Linked DNA regions of Lonchura striata. The protein of the gene in region 1 interacts with the protein of each later gene in a pairwise test. Links are inferred from orthologs where the notes say so. Each region holds a gene or a part of one and is shown in the gene's direction. Other genes may lie near its edges.

Region 1 (7,425 bases):
TTAATCCTGCACCCACAGAGGAGGTGCCAGGCAGGGCAGGCAGGTGGCCCATCATCCCCTGAGCAGCGCTGAGCTGTGCCCCGCTCCCACAGGAGCACCCCGAGGACGGCCGTGCCAGCATCTACCGCTCCGTCATCATCAACACCTCCAAGGAAATGATGTGCTTCAGCGACTTCCCCATCCCTGAGGACTTCCCCAACTACATGCACAACTCCAAGATCATGGAGTACTTCCGCATGTACGCCCAGCACTTCGACCTGCTCCGCCACATCCACTTCAGGGTGAGGGCTGGGGCAAGGGGGAGGTGGCAGCGGGAACGGGGGCACAGGGTGCCTGACACCGCTCCCCTGCGCCCAGACCAGCGTGTGCCGCGTGTCCAAGCGCCCCGACTTCGCCAGCAGCGGGCAGTGGGAGGTGGTGACGGAGAGCGAGGGGCAGCAGGAGGCGGCCGTCTTCGACGCCGTGCTGGTGTGCAGTGGGCACCACACCGACGCTCATCTCCCGCTCAGTTCCTTCCCAGGTACTGCCTGTGGGCTGCTCGCCTGCTCCCTGACATCCCTAAATGCCTCTGCAGTTTTACCACACCAGGGGGGATTGCATGAGTGTCCCAAGCATCCTGCTGGCAGATACCACCACTGCCAGCGTGCCTCTCCCACCTGAGACAGGCTCCCTCTCCATGCTGCTGGCCAAGCAGCTGCTGGGCCCTCCAGCTCCTCACCAAGGCTGGAGAGCTCAGCACTGGTGGTGGTCTTGCCTCTGGGTTCCAGGAGAAAATGCCTGAAGAGCTTTCAGCTGTGGAGACCCTCTTTGGCTAGGGAACAAGTTGAAGCACACTGTCACCAGGGTCTGGCAAGGTGGCACAAACCCTGGTTATTGCTCTACTGGCAATGCATGGCACCAGACAGGATCTGCAGCAGAATTTTGGGATGGAAGCATGGAATTCTCCAGTCCAAGCTCTGTTCCAAGCCAGGCTAGTCCCAAAGCCAGATCAGGATGCTCAGGGCTACACTGAGAATCCTCCATTTTGGTGATGCCACCACCTCTCTGGGCAGCCACCCCAGGGCTGCATAACTCCAGTTGGTCACACTGCTTCTAGCTTGTTCCCAAAACACACCACCAATCTGAACAAGGGGCAGCCGCCCTCTGCTCCACAAGCCAGCCCAGCATGGCTTCCCTCTCTCTTCCAGGGCTGGAAAAGTTTGAGGGCTGGTACCTGCACAGCCGCGACTACAAGAACCCTCAGCCCTTTTTGGGAAAACGGGTGATTGTGGTTGGCGTTGGGAATTCAGGCATCGATATCGCAGTGGAGCTGAGCCACACAGCCAAGCAGGTGTGCTGGGAGAGCTCACAGGAATGGGACCCCAGAGGGCACTGAGCATCACCTTCCATCCCCTGTGGGCTCCCTAACCTCCAGCACCTGGCACAAGCACCCTGTCCCCTCTCTGTGGGGGTGGCTATGGTGGTCCCAGCAGCTGTGCTGGCTTCTCTGTCTCTGGAGCACAGCAGGGGCCCAGCCCGGTCTGAGCATGCTGCCATGCCACCACCTCCGTTCTCCTTCCTTCCAGGTTTTCCTCAGCACCAGGCGTGGGTCCTGGGTGCTGCACCGGGTGGGAGACAGCGGGTACCCCTTTGATTTCAGCTACATCAACCGCTTCACGCAGCTCCTCCAGAACCTGCTGCCAAGTATCATCAGTTTCTTCCTGGAGCGGAAGCTGAATGCCCGCTTTGACCACACGCTCTATGGCCTAAAGCCCAAGCACAGGTGAGCACCCCAGCAGCACCCTGGGTACCTGCTCCAGCAATGCCCATCCCCCTGCCAGGGCCTGAACGAGGTCTGTGTGTGCCTTCCAGGATCTTTCACCAGCACCCAACCGTCAACGACGACCTGCCCAACCGCATCATTTCGGGCAGGGTGCAGGTGAAGCCGAACATCCAGGAGTTCACAGAGACATCTGCCATCTTTGAGGATGGCACCAGGGAAGATGTCGATGCCGTAGTTTTTGCCACAGGATACAGCTTCTCCTTCCCGTTCCTCGAGGGCTGTGTGAAGGTGGTGGAGAACCAGATTCCCCTCTACAAGTTCATGTTCCCCCCTGACTTGGAAAAGCCAACACTGGCTTTCATCGGCCTCATCCAGCCCCTAGGAGCCATCATGCCCATCTCAGAGCTCCAGTGTCGCTGGGCCACCCGTGTCTTCAAAGGTAAGTCAGGGCAGTTTGAGGGATGCAACTGGGCTCCCCCAGCCACGCCAAGACTGAGTTATTGCTGGTGGCATCCCCTCACATGCTGCCTCTCCACACTCATCTTTTTATTTTCCTTTTACTTCTTCATGAGGACAAAACCCTACTTTGCACTTTGCTACAACTCTTGCACTGTTCTTCTCTTGTGGGGGTCACTAACTGGTGCTGTTGCCTCCAACCACATTCTCCCTTTCCTTTCCTGCTGTTACTTTCTTTGCCCATGTCTCCCACTTTGCCCCTGACGCGATGACACATCCCAAAAGCCCCACGTGCAAACAGAGGCCAGGCTGGGCTGCAGAGCCATCCAGACTATGGCAGGAGCACAGCCCACCCTCCAGCTCCAGCCTCCTTTTGCCCAGGGCTGCAGGGCCTGCCGCCGCCCACTGACATGCTGGCCGAAATCACACAAACCAAGCAGAGAATGGCTGAGCGGTAAGGCCCCCGCGCAGCAGGGCCCTGCCACCCTTACCCCCGGCGCTCCCCCTGTCACACCCTCCTGCCCTCCCTCCCTCCCTGCCCGCAGGTACGTGAAGAGCCAGCGGCACACCATCCAGGTGGATTACATCCCTTACATGGACGAGCTCGCCTGCCAGCTGGGGGTCAAGCCCAACCTGCTCTCCCTGTTCCTCACGGACCCCAGGCTGGCCGTGGAGGTGGCCTTCGGTCCCTGCACGCCGTACCAGTACCGGCTGCGGGGCCCGGGCACGTGGGCAGGAGCCAGGGCCGCCATCCTCAGCCAGCAGCAGCGCGTGGTCCGGGCCCTGCAGCCGCGGGCCAGCCGCCGCCCTGCCCGCCCCAGCGCCGCGCCACACGTCCTCACAGTGCTCTTCAGCATCGGCATGATTGTGGCCACCCTCGTCTACGTCTCGCTCTGTCCTTAGCCTAAAGGGAAGGAGACAGCAGGTCCTGCTGGCAGCCTTCTCCGTTCCCCTTGGGCTTCTGTCTGTTGTGTCTCGCTAGCTATGCCAGAGCATGGAGGGAGCCATTCCTTGAAGGTGCAGCCGAAGCGATACGTGGAATAAATAAATAGACTCCACAACCTGGGGTAGTTATGAAGTGGGTATGTATTGCCAGTGCTTGGCACAAGTGAGATTGCTCTCCAAGACTTGTGCACTGAGCCTTGGTGTGACCCAAACCTTTATTCACAAAGGTGTTCCATATATAGTACATTAAAAACTTTTTTTATGCATAGTCAACCCCTGCCTTCGCCTGTCCTTGCCTCTCGTGCAATATAGGTCCATGCCCTTCTATGCATGTGTGGTTTGCTGTGGTGGTCCTGCCAGGTCTCTGGTGGTCTCTGAGGCTGAAGATCGAGGTCTTCCTCAAGGCTGAACTTTTGAACTCTTCTCTGCATATGTGCTTTCAGTCTTTTGGTGCTTATCTGAGTACCATCTGTCACTCTTGATAAGTTTGGAGACAGGAGCCTCTTTATCTAGATTCTTTGTATTTTCAGTCCTTTTTGTTATTGTTCTTTATGCAAGAAGCTTCATAATTTGCATTTTCTTATGCCCTTTTGTACCTTGGCAGAGGTTTCTTAAGTAAAAGGTTAAAATTCAACACATAACTCTACAAGCTCGAATATAAATGCTTAATTCATTTTGCTAACTTAAGTGAATTCCAAAAATCCCTGTTCCACAGCCTGGTCTGTTGAGCTTTCCCGCTGCGATACCACCAAGTGCGGTCATGGGCTGCTCTGGGAGCAGCTCCCCAAGCCCCGGCCCGGCAGCCCCAGGAGCTCTATGGGTCAGGTCACGGAGGTGGCCAGGAACTGGGAACAGGCCGCGGGGAGCGCAGTGCCGGGCCGCGGCACTCCGCGCTCCGTCCCGGGCAGCGCCCGGCCGCGGGCACCGGCCGCGGCCCTGCCCGCAGCGAACATGGCGGCCGCGGCCCTGCCCGCAGCGAACATGGCGGCCGCGGCCCTGCCCGCAGCGAACATGGCGGCCGCGGCCCTGCCCGCAGCGAACATGGCGGCCGCGGCCCTGCCCGCAGCGAACATGGCGGCCGCGGCCCTGCCCGCAGCGAACATGGCGGCCGCGGCCCTGCCCGCAGCGAACATGGCGGCCGCGGCCCTGCCCGCAGCGAACATGGCGGCCGCCCGGCGCGGGCCGCGGGGCGGGGGCGGGGCGCGGCCGCGGGGCGCGGCGGGGGCGGGTCAGAGCGCCCCGCAGCGGCCGGCGGGGGGTGGCGCCATCTTGGACGGAGGCGGAGAGCGGGGCGGCGGCGGCGGCGGCGGAGGCAGGTGGGGTCGGGCAGGGCCCGGGCCCGGGGACGGCGGGCGGGTGTGAGGGTGGGTGTGAGGGTGGCGGCTCCCCGGGCGCCGCTGCGGGAGGCGGTGGGTGAGGCGTGGCTGCGCGTCCCCGCGGTGTAGCGGTGCAGACCCCGCCCGGCAGCCTCCCGGGAGGGCCCGGCCCCTGCCGGCGTGTCCCGCTCCTCCCCCGGCCGCGGCAGACCCGCGGGTGCCCGTGGGCCGAGCCCGCCGTGAGAGCCCCGCTGCCGCCCCCGCCGGGCAGAGCCCCAGCCCCAGCCCCAGCCCCAGCCCTGCCTGCTCGGAGGGAGATTTTCCGCCCCCGCTTTCCCAGCTCATCCCCCTCACGGCGACCTCAGGGCTCAGCTCTGCTTCCCGTCTCCGAAAGAGGGAGATCCGGGCGGATCGGGCTTCCCTGGGCGGTGTCAGCCCGGCGAGGTGCTGGACCCTCAGAGCCCCGGGAATGCACTGCCGGTGCCGCTGGGCACAGCCCATCCCTCTGCGCACCTGCTTCGGGCTGCCTGCCCGTGCTTCCCAGCGCGGTCACTGGCCGCTTCCCGGGGAGGGAAACGGGCATAATTCACAAGTCATCTTCCACATGAGAAGCTGGGGCTGGCTGGAACCGAAGGGCCCTGGTGATGGGGCAGGCAGGCCCACCTTGCTGTGGGCTGTGGCTGGCAGGGGCTTGCTGCCAGACTGGGAGCGGATGTGCCAAGATACCGTGGAGGTTTGGTGGAGCTGTGGTGTGGGCAGCATTTCCATCCATTACTTGAGTGTACCTGTTTCACACCATCTCCTAATGCTCCAAGGGCTGGCCTGGATGCAGGAGGGTTTGAGCTGTAAAAGTTAATTCAGCAAAGCCAGGTATTGCAGACTGTGCACAAAGACCTGTCTGGGCACAGACCAGGTACCTGTGTGTGTGATGTCGGGGATTCAGGTGGCACACGGCAGACAGGAGCCACCACCTGGGATAAACCTCAGGGAGTGCTTGGAGAGCGTGACCTGTAAGGGACAGGGGGACTGGGGTTTTTTAGAGAAGAGAAAGGGAAGCTTCACACCTGTTAACACCTGCACATATCTCCCAGGTCTGTCCTGCTACAAGGGAAGTTCAGCCTTTCCCACCTTCCTCCCTGTAGATGAGAAGTAAGGGAGCCTTAGTGAAGATACTGGAGAGGAAACTCCTCAACAGCAGATCTGGTGGCACAGGGGCAGTTTTTGTGAGGAGCTGTCTGAGCCTCTGCAGAGCAGAGGGGGAAGGTGTCAGAGCAAGAGGTGTAGCTCATTTGACCTGGATCTTCAGGTATACTTGATCTGCCCTGAGAGGGGTGGGGGTATGGCTTAGCTGCCCACTTGAGCTGCCTTTTAGCCCTCAGGATTTAAGAAATACCATAGTAATTGCTCCATAATGTTCTAAAGCCTGGATTTGGCTGGCAGCCTCGCTTGGCACTCTTCATATAACTTGATCTTTTAAACAAACCTCCAAATGTCACAAGCAAGCACATGAAGCAAGGCTGGCTGTCTCCTTGCTTGCTCTGCAGAGCCCAAGGTAAGCTGTAAGCTGCAAAATAAGCCTGGAAGTGGGCAAAAACTCCAGTCCATCTTGGCTCCTGGAAAGAGGGTAAGGCCTGAAGAGTCCTGTGTAGCTTGTAGTGGCTTTGTTGTTTATCCTAAAAGGTGTGTAGTTGTTCATGGCTTGGTCAATTCTCCTGTTTTGCTTTCTCTGAGCTGGGTGAGACTGGGGATGGAGACCCAGCTTCAGCTGCAGAGGGACACTGAGGTGGCCAGAGCTGCCCTTCCCTCACCGTGTCACTCCAGACAGCTGGGCAGGTGCTGGCTAAGTCCCAACAAACGGTCCTCCTTGGTGTGCTGTGCTGCAGCTGACACAGTGACTTGCCTGGTGAATCATAAGTGAATGCTGCTGAGAGCTGAGCTTTTCGCAGACACCACAGCATTAGCCCTGCTCCTTGGACAAGCTCCAGCTTGGGCAATTCCATTCGGACGCTTTAAATGCTCCCTGCCGCCTTTGCAGGCACAAGGCTCTGCTCTTCTGCCTGCGAGCTCTTGGAGACGTGTTGGGGACTGTAAAACAGCTGCTACTTTCACTCTGTGGCTGTTTTCTTGCTGGGCTGTCTCTAGAGCCTGACTGCAGGACTCTGAAAGAGGCTCTGTTAACGCCAGGCAGTTGGTTTACCAATAATGGTTTGCTTTCTTTTTCCCGTCAGCTCTACTCTGTTGGCTGCCGAGGGCTGATGTGGGACGCAGGTGAAGTCATACTGGTTTTGGAATCTTAACAATTACGAGCTTAACTAGAATGATGGTTCTTAAGGATGTGGCTATAATTAGGTCAAGCTTTCTTGTTTGTTGATTTCCCATTCAGCTTCCAAACTTGGGAGTGGAAATGAATTTGGGGCCTTTTTTAGGATTGCTGTTCATCTCCACTGGCAAAGAACATTTGGGAGACAGCTCTTTTGCTTGCTGCCAGAGCCCGAGGGCAAAGGCAGGGTGTTGCTGTGTCTCCCTCCCAGGGGCTGCTGAGCTGTCATGGGGAACACCACCAGCGAGCGGGTGTCCGGGGAGCGCCATGGCTCCAAGTCCCACCGCTCGGACGGCTCCGGTGCCTCCCACCCCGCCAAGGAGCACCCGCACAAGATCATGGTGGGCAGCACTGACGACCCCAGCGTTTTCAGCTCCCATGACTCCAAGGTAGGGGCTGGCTGCTCCCTTCCCTGCCTGGCCTCCAGCACCTCAGCACACTGCCTGTGTAGGGCTATGCAGGGGGTCTCTGGGGAGCTGGGAGCCTGGAGGAGCTCTGTGGTGCTCCTGTGTGTGATGTGCAGGTGGGCTGGTAGAGGCCAGCTGTAGAGGCCAGCTGTGTGAATGTGTTCACAGTTGTCTCTCTGTCTCAGTCACATCTCTCTGGTCTTCTTTGCCCAGATTCCT
Region 2 (7,670 bases), on another chromosome or scaffold:
ATGAAGGATCCCATGGACACGGCCAGCGTGGGACGCTCTGGAGAGCAGCGGGGCTCCTCCCCACAAGTGTCTGTTCCCCCTGAACTGTATTTATGTACCTGTGTAAGATACAGCCCTGCTTGTCTGGGCCAGCTCTGCCCGGGTGCTTGGTGTCCTTGTCCTGCCCGCAGCCTGGCAGCACCCCTGCCCCAGCCCTGATGCCGATGCCAGGATGGGATCCCGGTGCCCTCTAGTGCCCACGGGCACAGGCAGCTCCGTGGCCGCGTTCTCTGAGGAGGGAGGCGCCGGCCAAGCCGTGCCCGGGAGCTCCGGGGGCTGCGGGGCAGCTCCAGCCCACGGGACCCAGCTGTGGCCTCGGGGGTCCCTTCGTGGCACCGCGGGCTGAGCTCAGAGCCAGCAGTGGTGCCTGTCCCTGCTGCAGGGCTGCACCACGGCTCAGGGCACGCATCTTTCGGGTGCCCAGGACAGGTCTCACCCCACCCGGCTCCAGAGCAGGAGCTCCGGGGATGTGGCTTGGAGCCAGGGGAACACGGGGTGGGAAATGGAGACAAACTCGGTGCTCGCTGCTGGGGAGAGGACAGGGCTGCCAGCAGGAGCGTGCTCTGGTCGCTGCACGGAGCACTCACGGCCCTCGCAGGGAGCAGCGCTGACAGCCCGGCGATGCCGGGGGACATCAGGCGGCTCCAGCGGCTGGGCCGGCCGCGGCTTCCGGCAACAAACGCCCGTCTTTTACGTGTCTCCATTGCCCCAGGACCAGTCCGGGCAGGGGGACAGGCAGCCACACGGGGGACTTAGAGGTTAGGATCGGCCCGGCAGGAAGGGACGCTGAGGAAGGCGAAAGCCGCTCAATATTACAGAGCCCCCCTCACACAGACACACGACCGGAGCCGCGTCCGCCCCTCACAGGAAGCGGGGCGCCTGCGCTCAGCATTTATATTAACCCTGTCGGGCTGTGATTGGCTGAGGGCGGGAGGTGGCGGCGCCGGATTGGCAGGGAGCAGCAGCCCCTGCCGCGGGATTGGCTGGGGCTCCGCGCGGGCTGCCCCGCCCGAGCCTCCGGGGAACGCTGAGGGATCGCTCGGGAATCTCCGGAGCCGCTCGGGAATCTCCGGAACCGCTCGGGAGTTGCTCCGGGAGCGCTCCGGGATCCCCGGGAACCGCTCGGGGACCCCCGGGGGATGCTCACTCGGGGACCCCCGGGGGATGCTCACTCGGGGACCCCCGGGGGATGCTCACTCGGGGACCCCCGGGGGATGCTCACTCGGGGACCCCCGGGGGATGCTCACTCGGGGACCCCCGGGGGATGCTCACTCGGGGACCCCCGGGGGATGCTCACTCGGGGACCCCCGGGCCTTCTCCCCCCCGGCTCGGGCGTGGCCCCTCCATCTCCGAGGGTTGAAGCCCCGAGAAGGGGCCGGTGCTGCGCCCCCACCAACCCCGGTACCGAAGCGGGAGAACGAGCCCGAGGTGTCGGCACCGGCGCGTTTATTGCTCCGCTCCGCAGGGCCGGGGGCTCGCTCCGAGGCCGGGGGTGGCGGCAGGAACGGGTGCGGTGCCGGTGATGCCGTCCTGGGGAGGGGCTTCGGGGGGCTGCAGGGACGCCCCCGGCTCAGCGCAGCTGCAGGAGGAGCGCTGCCAGCACCCCCAGCGCCACGGCCAGGAGCGGGGGGCTGGCGCCGGGCGAGCTCCGGCCGCCGCTGACCGTGGCGTTCGCCGCGGCGGCATCTTGCGGAGCGAGCTCCTCCGCGTTCGCTTTCGTGTCCTTGGCCTGGCCGAGCGCCTGGCAAGGAAAACAGCGTCAGACATCCCTCCCCACAGCAGCGGTGAAAGCCCCGAGACCCCTCACGGGATGGGTCTGGGGGCACTGCGGCGCCCACGCTGCCCCTTCCCAGGCGGGACAAACAGCCTCCTGTCCCCTGGCAGGTTCCCTTCCCACTCCAGCTCTTGGCTTTGGGCTCGTCCCAAGGCAGGGAGGGAAGTGAGCTCTCCCTGGAGTCGCTGCCCTGCTGCTGACCCGGGGGGTTCAGAAATTAGGGGGGAAGTGGAAGCCAGGGAGTGGTGTCTGCTCCTCTGGCTGCCGCGAGGGAGTGGTGAGAAGGTGTCGGGCCGTGGCCCTGCAGAAGAAAAAGAGGGGTGGGGGTTGTGCGAGGAGCAGGGGGGACCCCCGAGCCCGGGCAGGGTGCAGTCGGTGTGTGAAATGCAGCACAGCCAGGGTGGCAAGCTCGGGGCAGTTTCTTTCCCTCTCTGACGCTGTCCTGGCTGCTGGAAAAGCGATGCCGTTTCCCACTGTGAAGCACACTGTCTTACACCCCTCCCCAGGGTCCCTCCCGAGATGGGAAAGGAGCAGGAACGAAGCCCAAAACTCTGCTCTGCCCCTTTGCCACACTCTTGTCCTTTTTGCCTGCTTTACAGAGGGGAAAATCCCAAAATCTACACGCACCCCGTGGAGCCAGCAGCAGGTCCCATCTGTGGGGAACTCCATGAGTGAAATAAGCACAGACAAATCTGGCATCGTTACCAACATGTAGGAGAAAAAAAACCATCCCAAAAGCTGCCTCAAAGTGCATCATGCTCCCCAAAAGCGCTGCTGGGTTCATTCCTGACACCCAGGAGAGCCCCATGTCCTCAGCCTGGCTCTCGACCCATGGAGCCCGCAGCAGGAAGGGCGATAACAACCAGAGGAAACCACAGGCGTGTGTCCAGCAGCCCCTCCAGCCCAGCATCCCCACAGCGGGCACGGCCAGGCTGGAAGATGGGCTGGAGAGCTCTGCCAGGGTTCCGGAGGTGAGCGGTGCCCTCAGGGCAAAGAAAGGCATGAAAAAAAGAACCGCATGGAAGAGTCGGGACCTGGCAGAGCGCAGCACAAATCCCTTGCTGAGACCACAGCGGTGCGAGGCAAAGAGAAAACCAAACACGGCGGTTTTCAGAGCTGCGGGCTCGTCCTTACCAGGCACAGGGCGAGCAGGGCGAGCAGGGCGAGCAGGCGGGCGCGCTGCAGGGGCGGCATGGCCGGGGCTCGGCGGGGCTCCGACACTTCCCGTGGCACTTCCCCGTTCGCCCCGAGCCTTTAAGCCCGGCGGGGGCACCGCGCACCCAATCGCGCCTCCCTTCCCCAGCAGCGGCGGGACCGGCGCGGTTTTGGGGAAGTCGCAGCTGCTGCCCGCGCTGCGAGGAAAAAGGTGCGGGCCGTGGATTTGGGATGTGCGGGCCGTGGATTTGGGATGCCCGGGACGTGGATTTGGGATGCCCGGGCCGTGGATTTGGGATGCCCGGGCCGTGGATTTGGGATGCCCGGGCCGTGGAGCTGCTCCTCCGCATCCCCTGGCGCCGGAGCAGCTCCCTGCTCCCTGGCACGGCAGTGATGAGTGACAGAGCAGGGAAATTTCAGCTGAATAGAGATAAAGTGGAGAAATGGGACAAAAGGGTGTAAAGGGATGAGCGCAGGATGCTAGCCATGGCGGGAAGCAGTGGAGAAATGGATAAAAGGATAAAAATAAAATTCCCCACTGCAGTGGGTGTTCTTTCAGAAGTAGGTGAAAAGAAAAAGTGCATCCCGAGTTAAAAAGTTGAAGGAAAGGCTGAAACCCCTCAGGTTCTGCTTCTCCCTGGGGCCTCTCTGTCCTCACACCCACCAAGGACTAAGAGTGACTGAAACCCTCCCTGGATCGGAGGGAGGGTTTGCAAATCGCAGCCCAGGTCAGAAGGAATAAACCTCCTTCCCTCCAGGTGGAGCTGGAGCCAAGGCATCCCTTGGGATTTCAGTTACAGATCCTAAATAAAGGGGGAAATGCTTCCTTTAATCCCCTAAAGCGGGAAATGCTTCCTTTAATCCCCCAGCTCCATCTGCTCACAGCAGATCTCCGAGCTCCCTCGCCCTGCAGCACAGGAAACGAAAGGATCTGGTTATTTTAAGATGGTTTGAAATGAATAAAGTCACTGGAACGTGCTGAGAACACACACCTGCTGTCTGGGTTCGTGCTGGTGAAGCACATCACGGTGAGCTCCCTGCAGCTCCCACCCTCAGCTGAGGGCTCTGCTGCAGAAAAGCTTCACCAAATTTGGCTCGGTTTGGCTCTTCGGGCAAGTAGAAATTACTTGAGCACAGCCAACCTCCCTGACAGTGTCCAAGGCCGGGCTGGACAGGGTTTGGAGCAATGTGGGACAGTGGGAGGTGTCCCTGCCCATGGCAGGGGGTGGGATGGGCTTTGGGGTCCCTGGAGCCCAAACCTGTCTGTGGTTCTGTGCACGCCCCATCAAAGGAGGTAAAACTGCGGGGACAATTGGCCTGTCCCACTCGCCTGCAGCTGGCGAGGCCGAGCTCTCCGGGTGGGATGGGGACACCCAGGAAAGGCTCCCGGGATGGGGACAGGAGCTGGGGCAGCTCAGGGCACCAGCGGGGCCCGGCTGAGGAAACAGGGACCGAGGGAGCAGGTGAGGGAATCGGGAGGAGCCCCAGGCCAGGCTGACGGGTGTGTGCGGAGGGGGGCTGAGGAGAAAAATGGATCCCGCTCCCGGTAATTCCCGGCGCCGGTGTCCCGGGAGAACGCGCGCGGTGCACGCTGGGAATTGTAGTTCCCAGGGAACTCCAGCGCCCACCACGTGACCAGCGCCGGACCAATCGCGGCCCGCCTCGCGTCGCCGTGGCAACCGGCTGTACACAAGATGGCGGCGGGGGGTGAGTTTCCAGACCAGGCCTGGGCCGAGGGGTCCCTGCAAGGCTCCCTCCGCTCCTGCTCCGGGGTCAGCACTGAAAACAACACGGAGGGTAAAGCCCCTGAGGGAGCTGGGAGTTCTGGCCCAGCAGCTTTTCGGTGACACCCCCGGCCAGACCCCTTCTGTGGCTGCCCTCCCGCACACACAACCAGAACCAAGGGATTTTTACCCGAAAAGTCCTCCCTGCTGTGGCAGACCAGGAACCCTGCTCACAGGTATTTGTGTTTTCAGGTGCAGCTCACCCTGACATGGAGCTCTCGTCTTCTCTGGCAGAAAAAATCTCTCTGTTGGAAAAAAAAATAGAGAAACAAGCACAAGAAATCCAGCTGCAGGTAAAAGTCAGCCTCTTGCTGAGGCTGCTCTGTCCTCTGCCACAGGAATTCCACCTCTCAGACCTTGTGTGGGCTCAGAGTCCATCTGTGGTCTGCTGTTAATTACCCAAATGAGCCCTTTACAAAGCAACAGAGCAGTGGGATCAGGCCTTGGGGTGGCAGAGGGGACAGTCCCTGCTGGGGCTTCTTGCAGCAGTGACTCTCAGCACCCTGGCACTGACATCAGCAGCTCTTTGGCTTCAGAATTAATTTTTTTTTCCCTCCTGTGATGGTACATGCCCCCTTTTTGTTTTCTGAAACAGCAGCTGCTCACACAGGAGAGTGGAACTGGAGCAGCCCTCTCTGCATCACTGACTGGAATAAATAAATACCCTTTAAAATCTTAGAATAAATACCTTTAAAATCTTAGAATAAATACCTCTTTCTGTTCAGATTGGATTTTTTAAGACGTGGCTGCAGAGATGCTGGTTTAGTTTCCATACCAGCCCCTCCCCGCAGGTCTGAGCAGGAGCACCTGGTGCAGAGGGAGGACGGGAGATGGGTCACCCACTCCTGGAGCTCTCCATTTATCCCAGCCCTCCTTTGAGGCTCATTAAGGGGTTTGTGGGGTGGTTCAGCCCTGCTGAGCCTTTGGGCAGCGCTGGGTGGGGGAGAGGAGCTGCAGCAGCCCTGATTGTGCCAGCTGTGCCTGGAGGGGCTGAGCCCAGAACTGACCCAGCCCTTTGTTCTGCCCCTGAAGGCCGGGAGGATCGCCGAGCTCGAGGAGAAGATAAAGACTCTTCAGGAAGGGGAAGGTAAAATCGTTCTGCAGCTCTGGGCAGGGCAGCAGAGCAAGGCATTTGTGTCTGTTACTCTGCTGCAAAACATCCTGAGCTGTTTGTGTGGGTTTCGGAGCCTCCACGGCTGCGAAGCCAACCGCAGGCTGGGCAGGAGTGCAGTAAACACTGCCGAGTTCAAGCAGCAGGAAGGCAGCTCCTCGCAGCTGGGAGCAGCCAAACACACCCCTGGAGTCTCCACAGGACTCCAGCCCAGCAGAACTCGAGATTGAGCCCAGCTTGCAGTGGCTCACAGGGGTGTTTTCCCCTGCATCCAGCAGCTTTCCCAGCCCCAGCCGGAGCCCACAGACGTTTCCTGCAGGGCTGAACAGCCTGCTGTGTGCAGGGCTGTGGTGAGCTCTCCATTTCCTGAGCACAGAGCTCAAATGTGGCTGTCAAACCACAGACACGAGCTCTGCTCCTGCTGCTGCACCGTGCTGCCACCCAGCCAAGATTCCAGGATCCAGCTGCAGCAGGCACCTGCTCCTTTTGGGCTCCTTAGGGCTGAGCTGAGCAAGTTCCACTGTAGGCCTGCCAACAGCACCTCTCACATCAGCTCCCATGGCTTTAAATTCCCCAGGCTTGTTCACAACTGTCTTTTGGCCTGCCAGCAGCCTTGTCAAACCACTGCAGGGTGAATTGTCCCCTTCAGCCCCTGTGTCCCACGGGTGGGAGTTCACTGAGCACAGGCAGGTGCTGCTGGGGCCCTGCCCTGTGTGGCACAGGTGATCCACAGCTTGAGATCTTCAGAGGAACGTCAGCTTTTCTCTTACAGATGCTTCTGACTCGCCCAGCACAGAACTGGAAGCGAGGTGCCTTCGGCTGCAGAGCCAGGTCTGGGAGATGGAGGTGAGGCTGCTCTGCCTGCCCTGAGCCAGCTCTCCTGTGGTTTGGGGTCACTGCACTCCCAGTTTGGCCTTTTCCAAGCTGCCCCTTTGGTCCTCACAACCCTTCTCCTCTGAGAAAAGGGAGCAGGTTGGATGTGAGCAGCACCTGGGCCTCCTGTGAGCTTCATCCTGATTGCCAGGGCTGCAGGAATGCCCAGCTCCTGCAGCCTTGGGAGGTTCCCCTGGCACTACAATCTCCTCCCTTTGCCCTGCTGCTGATGGAGCTGCTATCACTGCCCTGCCAGGAAGTCTGTCTGCCAGGGCCAAGACAAACCTGTTCCACCTCCCTCTGTGCCTCCCACAGCCACAGCTGACCCCTCTCGGGCTCCCTTTTCCAGTTCTCTGGAGCTCTGGGCACCAAAGCCCACCCGACTCTGCTCTTGCAGCGGTTCCTGAGCGACTACGGCCTGGTGTGGGTTGGAGAGGCACGGCACCAGCTGGGAGACACAGAACCACTCCAGGAGGAGGAGCTGCCAGCAGGGAGCCCCTGCAGGCCGGGTAAACCTCTGTGAGATCCCAGCTCCACTCTGGGCTGAAGCTGCTAGCCCAGCTCCCCCCGTGTGCTCAGAGAAGGGGGAGTAGAAAAGCATCAAAACCTCAGGATTTGGGTCTTCAGAATTTGGGATCCTGGGCCAAGATCTTCACGTCGATCCCTCTCAGGGACACAGACGTGGAGCAGTCTAACAGGAGCTCAGCAGAAGGTTTGGTTTTATATCCCTGTGTTTTGTACACCCTTCTGGGGGGAGAACCTGATGGCTCAGCCCTTCAGGAGGAGCAGCTGTCTCCTGCAGAATTCACAAACCACATTTGAGGCTTGGTTGATCTCATGACATTGACACAGAGTGGGTGGAAAATGGAATCAGGTGCTTTGTGTACACAGGAGCTGTAGTAACTTACCCACAGAGCCTGGCTCCATCAGGGAG
Region 3 (7,711 bases), on another chromosome or scaffold:
GGGCGGGTGTGCCAAGGCAGGCGCAGGATCCTGTCCCCAGCCGCCAGCCGGGCCGCTGTGCGCGCTGCGGGTGGGATCCATCCCCGTCACTGTCCCGGAGCCCTCTGGGATCCCGGCTCTGCACAGCGACGCGCCTGCAGCGTGGGGAGTGGGGAATGTGGGGCCGCCCCCACATCCCAGCACTGTCCAGGAGCGCTGGGGGCCAGTGGGTGTCATGAGCTGCGCCATTCACAGCGTCCTCCCCTCCCCTGGACTCAGGGGTGTGGTGCCCTGGCTCCATCCCAGCGCCCCTCCTGCAGGGTAGGGGATGGATGGATGGACGGATGGATGGCCCCAATCTCCAGTCTGGGTAACTCCTGGAGAGCCTGGGGTGGATGGACACAGGGTGGGTGTGCACAGGCTCCCATCTCCATTCTGGTGCACCTCCTGGAGAGGCTGGGGTGGGAGAATGCGGGACCCCACCAACATCCAGGGAGCGCAGGGTGAATAGACAAGGGATGGATGGGCATGGATGGGTGGGTGGATGCACACGGGGTGGGTGCACATGGAATAAGCGGATGGATGGATGGATGATGGATGGACATGGATGGATGGATGGACACGAATGGATGCACATGTGTGGAATGGGTGGATGTGAGGTAGATGGACAGGACGGAATGAGTAAGCTCAGGATGGATGGACACAAACGGGACGGATGGACACGGTCTCCCCCCGCCCCCCAGGACCCCTCCCTGCCCCGTCCTGCAGGGCTTTGCCGGGGCTGCCCCTCGGCCGGGGAAGGTCCGGCGGGGCCCAGGGGGCTCCGGGGGAGGGGCTGGCCAGGGGGCCCAGAGGGGGCTCGGGGGAGGGTCTGGGCGGGCGCGGGGGCGGCTCCGGAGGCGGCGGCGGCTCCGGGTGCGGGAATGTTTGTGCAGCTGGAGCCGATTATGGGGCGGGAGCGGGAGGGGGGAGGGGGGCGAGGGGGTCGTGCAAGGGGGAGAGGGATGTGCAGGGAGAGCAGAGCGTGTGTGCGGGGGGCTCCCCACCTGTGTGGAGCGTGTGTGGAGGGTCCCTAGGCAGCCCCCTGCCCACATGGGGTGCCACCCACTCCGACCTGTCCCGTCACAGGCACCCCGCGTGTGCCCCCACCCCGCACGTGTGCGCAAACCCCACACACCGCGGACACGCCGGGGACACAACAGGGACACAGCAGGGACACAACAGGGACATGCCAGTGACACATGAGGGACACGCGAGGGACACAGCAGGGACACAGCAGGGACATGCGAGGGACACGCGAGGGACACGCCAGGGACACACAAGGGACACACCAGCGACATGTGAGGGACACGCCAGGGACATGCCAGGGACACGCCAGGGACACAGCAGGGACACAGCAGGGACACAGCAGGGACACACCAGGGATACACAAGGGACACGCCAGGGACACACCAGCGACATGTGAGGGACACGCCAGGGACATGCAAGGGACACACAAGGGACACAGCAGGGACACGTTCACACCCTGGGGCTGGGGGTGCCCCTCAGGGGCTGCGGGGTCGCTCCCCCCACACTGGGGATCCCCAGCTCGGTCCCAGTGGGCAGCTCCGGTGCCTGTGCTCACCCCGGTCGCTGCTGACGCCCTGAAGGCTCTCGGGGGACGCAGAGGTCCCGTGGGTTGTCCCTGCCCTGTCTGGGTGGGTGAAGGCACCACCACTGCAGGGACCTTGGGGGTGCCCCCTCATCCGTGCCCACCTCGGCCCCCCATATCCGGCTCTGATTGCCCCTCTGGAAATGGATCAGGGAGAAACCAGTGACCGGGGAAGGAGGGATGGCACCCTCAGAACAGAAAATTGGGGTGCTCCCCCACGGCACCTGGGGCCACCCCAAAACCCAGAATGCCTCCATCAGGGTTTAACCCCTGCACTGCCAGGATCACAACACTGCCTGATCCCACTCCCTGTTTCCATTGCTTTTACCCCAGAACAGCTGGTTCAGGTTGGAGAAATTATTCCCTTGGCCCAATCTCCCACTTTTATTCATTATTCATTATTTTTATTAGTTGTTGCCATTATTATGGCATGGCAAATGACCTGCTTGCCTTTGTCTGCCTCCTCTGGGAAGGGAGGGATGATGATGGATGGATGGATGATGGATGATGGATGATGGATGGATGGATGGATGGATGGATGATGGATGATGGATGATGGATGGATGGATGGATGGATGGATGGATGGATGGATAGATGGATGGCAGGTATGGATGGATGGATGGATGGCAGGTATGGATGGATGGATAGATGATGGATGGATGATGGATGGATGATGGATGGATGGCAGGTATGGATGGATGGATGGATGGCAGGTATGGATGGATGGATAGATGATGGATGGATGGATGGATGGATAGATGGATGGCAGGTATGGATGGATGGATGGATGGCAGGTATGGATGGATGGATAGATGATGGAAGGATGATGGATGGATGGATGGATGGATGGATGGATGGATGGATAGATGGATGGCAGGTATGGATGGATGGAAGGATGGATGATGGATGGAAGGATGGATGGAAGGATGGATGGATGGATGGATGGATGGATGGATGGATGGATGGCAGGTATGGATGGATGGATGGATGGCAGGTATGGATGGATGGATAGATGATGGATGGATGATGGATGGATGATGGATGGATGGATGGATGGATGGATGGATGGATGATGGATGATGGATGATGGATGGATGGATGGATGGATGGATGGAAGGATGGATGATGGATGGAAGGATGGATGGAAGGATGGATGGATGGATGGATGGATGGATGGCAGGTATGGATGGATGGATGGATGGCAGGTATGGATGGATGGATGGATGGATGGATGGTGGAGGGACAGGTGGACAGACAGACTGGGTCTCTGACTGTACCACCCTCTACCACCACACTCCTCCTGTGCCCACTGGGTTTCAGGGGTGAATGTGGGTTTCAAAACTTGTTTAATGTTCTCTTTTGGAGTGGGTTCATTAAATCCAGTGTAAATTAAGTTCAGTGTCGGGATGGGAAGACTCTCCAGAACGCCAAGATTTGACTGGTGCACACAGGCTCCTGCTCATGGACCCCAAGGTTCACCCACAGGTCCCTAGCTTTTCCTTCATCAAAATCCCCGCTCTATTACCCTCTGAACCCTCCTTTTAGGTATTTTAGGCATCATCTCCCCATTTTTGAGAGTTTTCTTATGTGGTATTTGGAGGGCTGGGTCCATTCCGGTGCTGCAGGATCTGGCTGCCATCAGTGTGATGAGCTGGGGTGGGTGGGTCAGGTCTCAGTGCCAGGGATCCCACTGGCTGCTCTCCTGGCTTTTCCCACTGCAGGGAGGCAGAGGAGGAGGTTGAACATCCCCCTCAGCCCCCCAGTTCCACAGAGACACTCCTGACCCATTAAACTTCATCTGCTGGGCACCAAAACGTGGCTGCTGAAGGGGGCCTCAGTCGCTGCTTCAGAGCCACCTCCTGTGGCTGTCCCCAGGCTGGCACCGCCTGGGGCATCCCACAGTGACATTGGGATCCGAGAGTGACCTTGGGATCTCACGGTGAGATTGGGATCCCACACTGACATGACTTCCCAGGAGCAGCCAGGGGCAGGGTTTTGGTTTTATTTCCCGTTTAATATAAAGCGGACTCTTTCAGGCATTAAATTGGCTTTTCCAGCGGCAGAAAGGGGCCGGTCTGGGGCTGCTCGTCCGGGCGTGCGGGGGACACAGCAGGACGGGCTTGGCCGTGGGTGGGTTTGGGGAGCTCAGCGGTGATGTGGGGGCTGTTTTCTGAGCAGCGGAGGGTGCAAGGCCGGGTTTCCCCCCAGCCCAGCCCCTGCTGCGGGCAGCGCTCCTGGAGCAGGAAAAGGGGCCGGGAGGGGAGGGGGCAGCACCGGGAACACAACGGGAAGGACCGGTCCCACCGAGTGCGGCCCGGTCGGGCACTGGGAGCGGGACAGCGTCCCCCTGGTGGGGTGGGGACAGGATCCGCCTCGGGGACACGGGGACAGACTCCTCCACAGGTGCCATGGCCCTGCTGGGCTCTCTTCCCTCCCCGAAGCTGTCCGGGGCGCTGAGGGGGCCGCGGGGATGTGGATCCTCGGGGACCCCCAGCACCGGACCCACGGCTGGGGGATGCTCCGGGCGGGACCCCGCACGCCCCCTCCCAGCCCCAGCGGCCTTCCCGGTGCCGCGGACCCCGCAGAGTCCCGCTCGGGGCCCGGGACCCGGCGCCCCCCGCTCCTTCCCGGGGACGCGACCGGCGCGGGCCCGGGAGACACCGCGGCCCGGGACACGCCCACTAATGACGTCACCCTTCCCATAGACACGCCCACGTCACGCGGCTTCCCGCCTATTTATAGGCCACGCCCCTCCAGGGACCACGCCCCTCCCGTGCCCTCGCGCCATTTTTCTGCCACGCCCCCGGCCAAGGCCACGCCCTAAGCCCCGCCCCTCACACGTCACCGCCGAGTCCCGCTGTCCCGCCCCGCCCCCTCAGGCCACGCCCACCCACCCGACACAGCTCATCAGGCCACGCCTCCGTCCCGCCCCGCCCTCAGCCGGGACCGCGCCCCGTGCCCCGGCGCAGGCGTCGTGCCGCAAACCCCGCCCCCAGCCCCGCCCCTCCGCAGGCCCCGCCCCTGCACCGCCCGCGCGCCGGGACTGCAGTTCCCAGCATGCCGCGCGCGCGGAAGGGGCGTGGCCGCGGCGCCGCTTCCGGGCTGGCGGCGAGGCGGAGGAGCGGCAAGATGGCGGCGGCGGCGGTGCTGGAGCTGCAGCGCGCGCAGTCCCTGCTCTCCACCGACCGCGAGGCCTCCATCGGCATCCTGCACTCCATCGGTGAGCGCCGGCCCGCCGCCCGCGCCGCCCGCGCCCCGCCGCCCCCCGCGGCGCGCCGAGCCCCGCGCCGCCGCCGCTGCTGACTCACCGTGCGCGCCCGGCGGGAGCGCGGCCTGGGCCCGGCCCCGCGGCACTGCACCGCGCCGGGACGGCACCGGCGGCGGCCCCCGCGCGTGGGGGCACGGGCGGCGGGAGCTGTCGCTGCGGGGCGGAGCGGGGGCCGCGCTCCGGGAGCCGGCGGCGGGGCCGGTGCCCGGTGCGTGTCCGCGGAGCCGCTCCGAGCAGCGCCGGAGCCGGGCCGGCCGCTCCTCCCCGTCCGGCTGGAACGAGCCTGCCGGCCCGGGACCCCCGATCGGCGCGCGCGGGGCCGCGGCGGTGCCGGTAGCGCGGGGCGTCGGGGCGGGTCGCGGCGGTTTGGGGCGCGGTGTCACGGCCCGGGCCGGGCCGGCAGCGATGGTGGCTCCCGCAGCGCCCGTTCCGCCGCGGCCGGAGGAGCTCGCTGGCGTTCGCTTCTCCGGCTCCGTCGGGCCGCGCTGCCGCGGACGGGTCGGTGCTGTGGGCACCCCGAGCGGGCCGGGCCGCGCTGCCCGCGGACCGCTGTGGGAAGCAGGGGTTCTTGGTTCTGCTGCCGTGCCCTGCTGTCACCCGCTGTGTCGGGAGTTTTCCGAGCGTCCCGTTAGCCCGGAGGTGCTGTCGGAGCTCTCGGTGTGCTCGGTGCTCAGCGGGAGCTGCCGCTCTCGGGGTCGGGCTCAGTCAGGGCTCAGCCCGTGGTGTGGGTGGGGAGCATCAGGAGTGGCCCAGACAATGTTGCTGTGATACTTTTCTCTTGGAGATCAAAGTTCCCTCGCTTTTGGTAGGGAATTGCAGGGGATGAGAGCTGCAGTTGCAGTTCCCTAGAGGCGGGATTTGGGCTCTGTTTGTGTGCAGGCTGGAGCAGCTCCCTGTGCTGGGGTGGTGGCAGGGAGGGAAGGGCCCTGCGTGGTGGATAACTCGCACGGAGCTGGTGCTGTGCTCGAATTGTGCTGCTGTCGCTTGTTCTTGATCTGCCTCAGAGCAGAGTCACTCCCTGGAGCAGAGGGTGGTGGCACTGCCAGGACTCGGCACTGGCAGGTGAGACACCAAAGTGGGGAGAGGTGTACCCACCTCACTTTGCTTGTGCTGCACTTTGTCCACGGGATCTCAGCTTCATACACAAAGCAGCAACATCAGCAATCCCAGAGTGGAGTGTCCAACCTCAGAAATGCCATTCAATGTCTCTTATTTGGTCCTGTGGCTCCAGTATGCTCTGGTGTGTGGTGTTGGTTCTGAGTGATACTTGCATAGCTGGACAAGCTGAGATTGTTCAGACCTGGAGCTGGAGTGAGTAGGGGGGAGTCTGTGGGCTAGTAAAGCCCCTGTGGAGCACCGACAAAGCACTGCAAACTTCCCTGCACTGGATTTAAACTTCCCAGACCTCCTGGGCTAGGCTGAGCTCCCTGGTGCCTGTTGGAGCAGGTCCTGCTCTGGGCACTTCTCCAGGAGCTGACCAGCAGGGATGGTTTTCCACCTGAAACACCACTAAAGGCAACTTTCCTGCTCTTTTTCTTCCCAGTGAAACGTGATGTCCAGGAAAACGATGAGGAAGCAGTGCAAGTCAAAGAGCAGAGCATCCTGGAGTTGGGGTCACTGCTGGCCAAGACTGGGCAGGCAGAAGGTGAGCCTGAAATCAGGAATTGAGGTAACAGGCAGCAGATCCTGCAGCCAATGCATTTAGTCTCCTTACTTAGTGGTATAGCTGGAAAAACAGCTTTTGGCAGGCAATTTTCTCTCCGAGACAGGACAGAAACTAAAAATCAAATAAAGAACATAAATATCAATCTGGTGTTGCTTGGCCCAGTGTTCCAAACGATGCACAGTTCAGTCTGTGGGGCTGTTTCAGTGTGGGTGACTAAAGTTTTACTTAGTTCTTTTGTTTGAGATGAGAGGTGTCTCCTGGATGGTTTCAAACAGGAAAGTTTGTCCCATGAAATTCTCTCTTACCCGCAGCTCCTCTCACAATCAATTGATTTATCTGCTGGCCATTACATCAGCAGCCCCTGTCCAGCTCTGCAGGGGACAGTCCCTCTATTGTGAGTGTGTGAGGGGACAGGGATGGAGTCGAGTTCTCTGTTCAGTGATGATTTTGAGTCTTTCCTCTCTCCTGTTTCCTGGAGAGCTCAAGGCAGCAGTTGGTTGTTTTGCAGTCTAGGGCTGTGTTTTATTCCTGGAGCATGTCAGGACTCTCTGTGTCTGTGCCCAGAGTGTTCTGGGCTTGGGCTGCAGCCCTGGGCAGTGGAAATGTTTACTTGCAAGTCTGGCACAGGGTGAGGAAAGCACCCAGCAGCAGGTTCAGTCCCACTGGAAGGGGCCTGACTTCAGAATAGCTCATGGAAAGTTCCTGGCTGTTCAGCCACAGCTCCAGGTCACAGTTTGTATCTATTGTGAAATGTCCCTTGGTGTCCCACTGGGCTTGGGAAGCTCCCGTTGGGCTGGGCCATGTCACTGCCCTGGGCTGGAATGAGCATTCCAGCCCTGATCCACTGTGGATGGCACTTGGGCAGGGCTGGGGACAGTGGGTGACTGGTCCTGAGAGGTGCTGTTCTTGTCACCTCGCTCAGGTGTTCACCTCTTACTCCTGCTGGGGGCTGCTTTTAGAGTCTGTGGGGAAAAATAAACCCCTCCAGCACAGGGTTTTCCTGCTCCTGCAGGACAGAGGAAGCTGCTGGGCAAGTGTCCCTTTCCTGGCTGAAGTCAGGAGCTCAGTGTGGGTGTCTGTGCTGTGCCAGTGCCCTTTGCACCCTGGTGCTTGCTCACCAGAGATCACCAAACATGGCTGGGCCCT

The links. The genes of interacting proteins can lie anywhere in the genome.
Region 2: the proteins of PRKAB2 (region 1) and UBXN11 interact in binary tests that used the Homo sapiens proteins (3 or more experiments, as listed by UniProt). The link is inferred for Lonchura striata from reciprocal best matches to the Homo sapiens genes PRKAB2 and UBXN11.
Region 3: the proteins of PRKAB2 (region 1) and PSMD11 interact in binary tests that used the Homo sapiens proteins (3 or more experiments, as listed by UniProt). The link is inferred for Lonchura striata from reciprocal best matches to the Homo sapiens genes PRKAB2 and PSMD11.

What each region holds. Positions count from the first base shown.
Region 1 is NC_134611.1:143,048-150,472, reverse strand, and holds the start of PRKAB2 (5'-AMP-activated protein kinase subunit beta-2), read left to right. Parts: upstream 1-4,417; 5' UTR 4,418-4,479; intron 4,480-4,780; exon of another isoform or gene 4,781-6,666; intron 6,667-6,723; exon of another isoform or gene 6,724-6,747; intron 6,748-7,010; 5' UTR 7,011-7,026; coding exon 7,027-7,188; intron 7,189-7,419; coding exon 7,420-7,425. Other genes in the region: flavin-containing monooxygenase 5-like, read left to right, coding at 93-281, 358-520, 1,188-1,330, 1,566-1,762, 1,852-2,201, 2,600-2,672, 2,764-3,121. UniProt on the Homo sapiens protein: Non-catalytic subunit of AMP-activated protein kinase (AMPK), an energy sensor protein kinase that plays a key role in regulating cellular energy metabolism.
Region 2 is NC_134628.1:342,306-349,975, forward strand, and holds the start of UBXN11 (UBX domain-containing protein 11), read left to right. Parts: upstream 1-4,662; coding exon 4,663-4,765; intron 4,766-4,944; coding exon 4,945-5,045; intron 5,046-5,784; coding exon 5,785-5,839; intron 5,840-6,635; coding exon 6,636-6,709; intron 6,710-7,133; coding exon 7,134-7,245; intron 7,246-7,670. UniProt on the Homo sapiens protein: May be involved in the reorganization of actin cytoskeleton mediated by RND1, RND2 and RND3. Promotes RHOA activation mediated by GNA12 and GNA13.
Region 3 is NC_134627.1:2,666,952-2,674,662, forward strand, and holds the start of PSMD11 (26S proteasome non-ATPase regulatory subunit 11), read left to right. Parts: upstream 1-4,703; 5' UTR 4,704-4,760; coding exon 4,761-4,851; intron 4,852-6,442; coding exon 6,443-6,544; intron 6,545-7,711.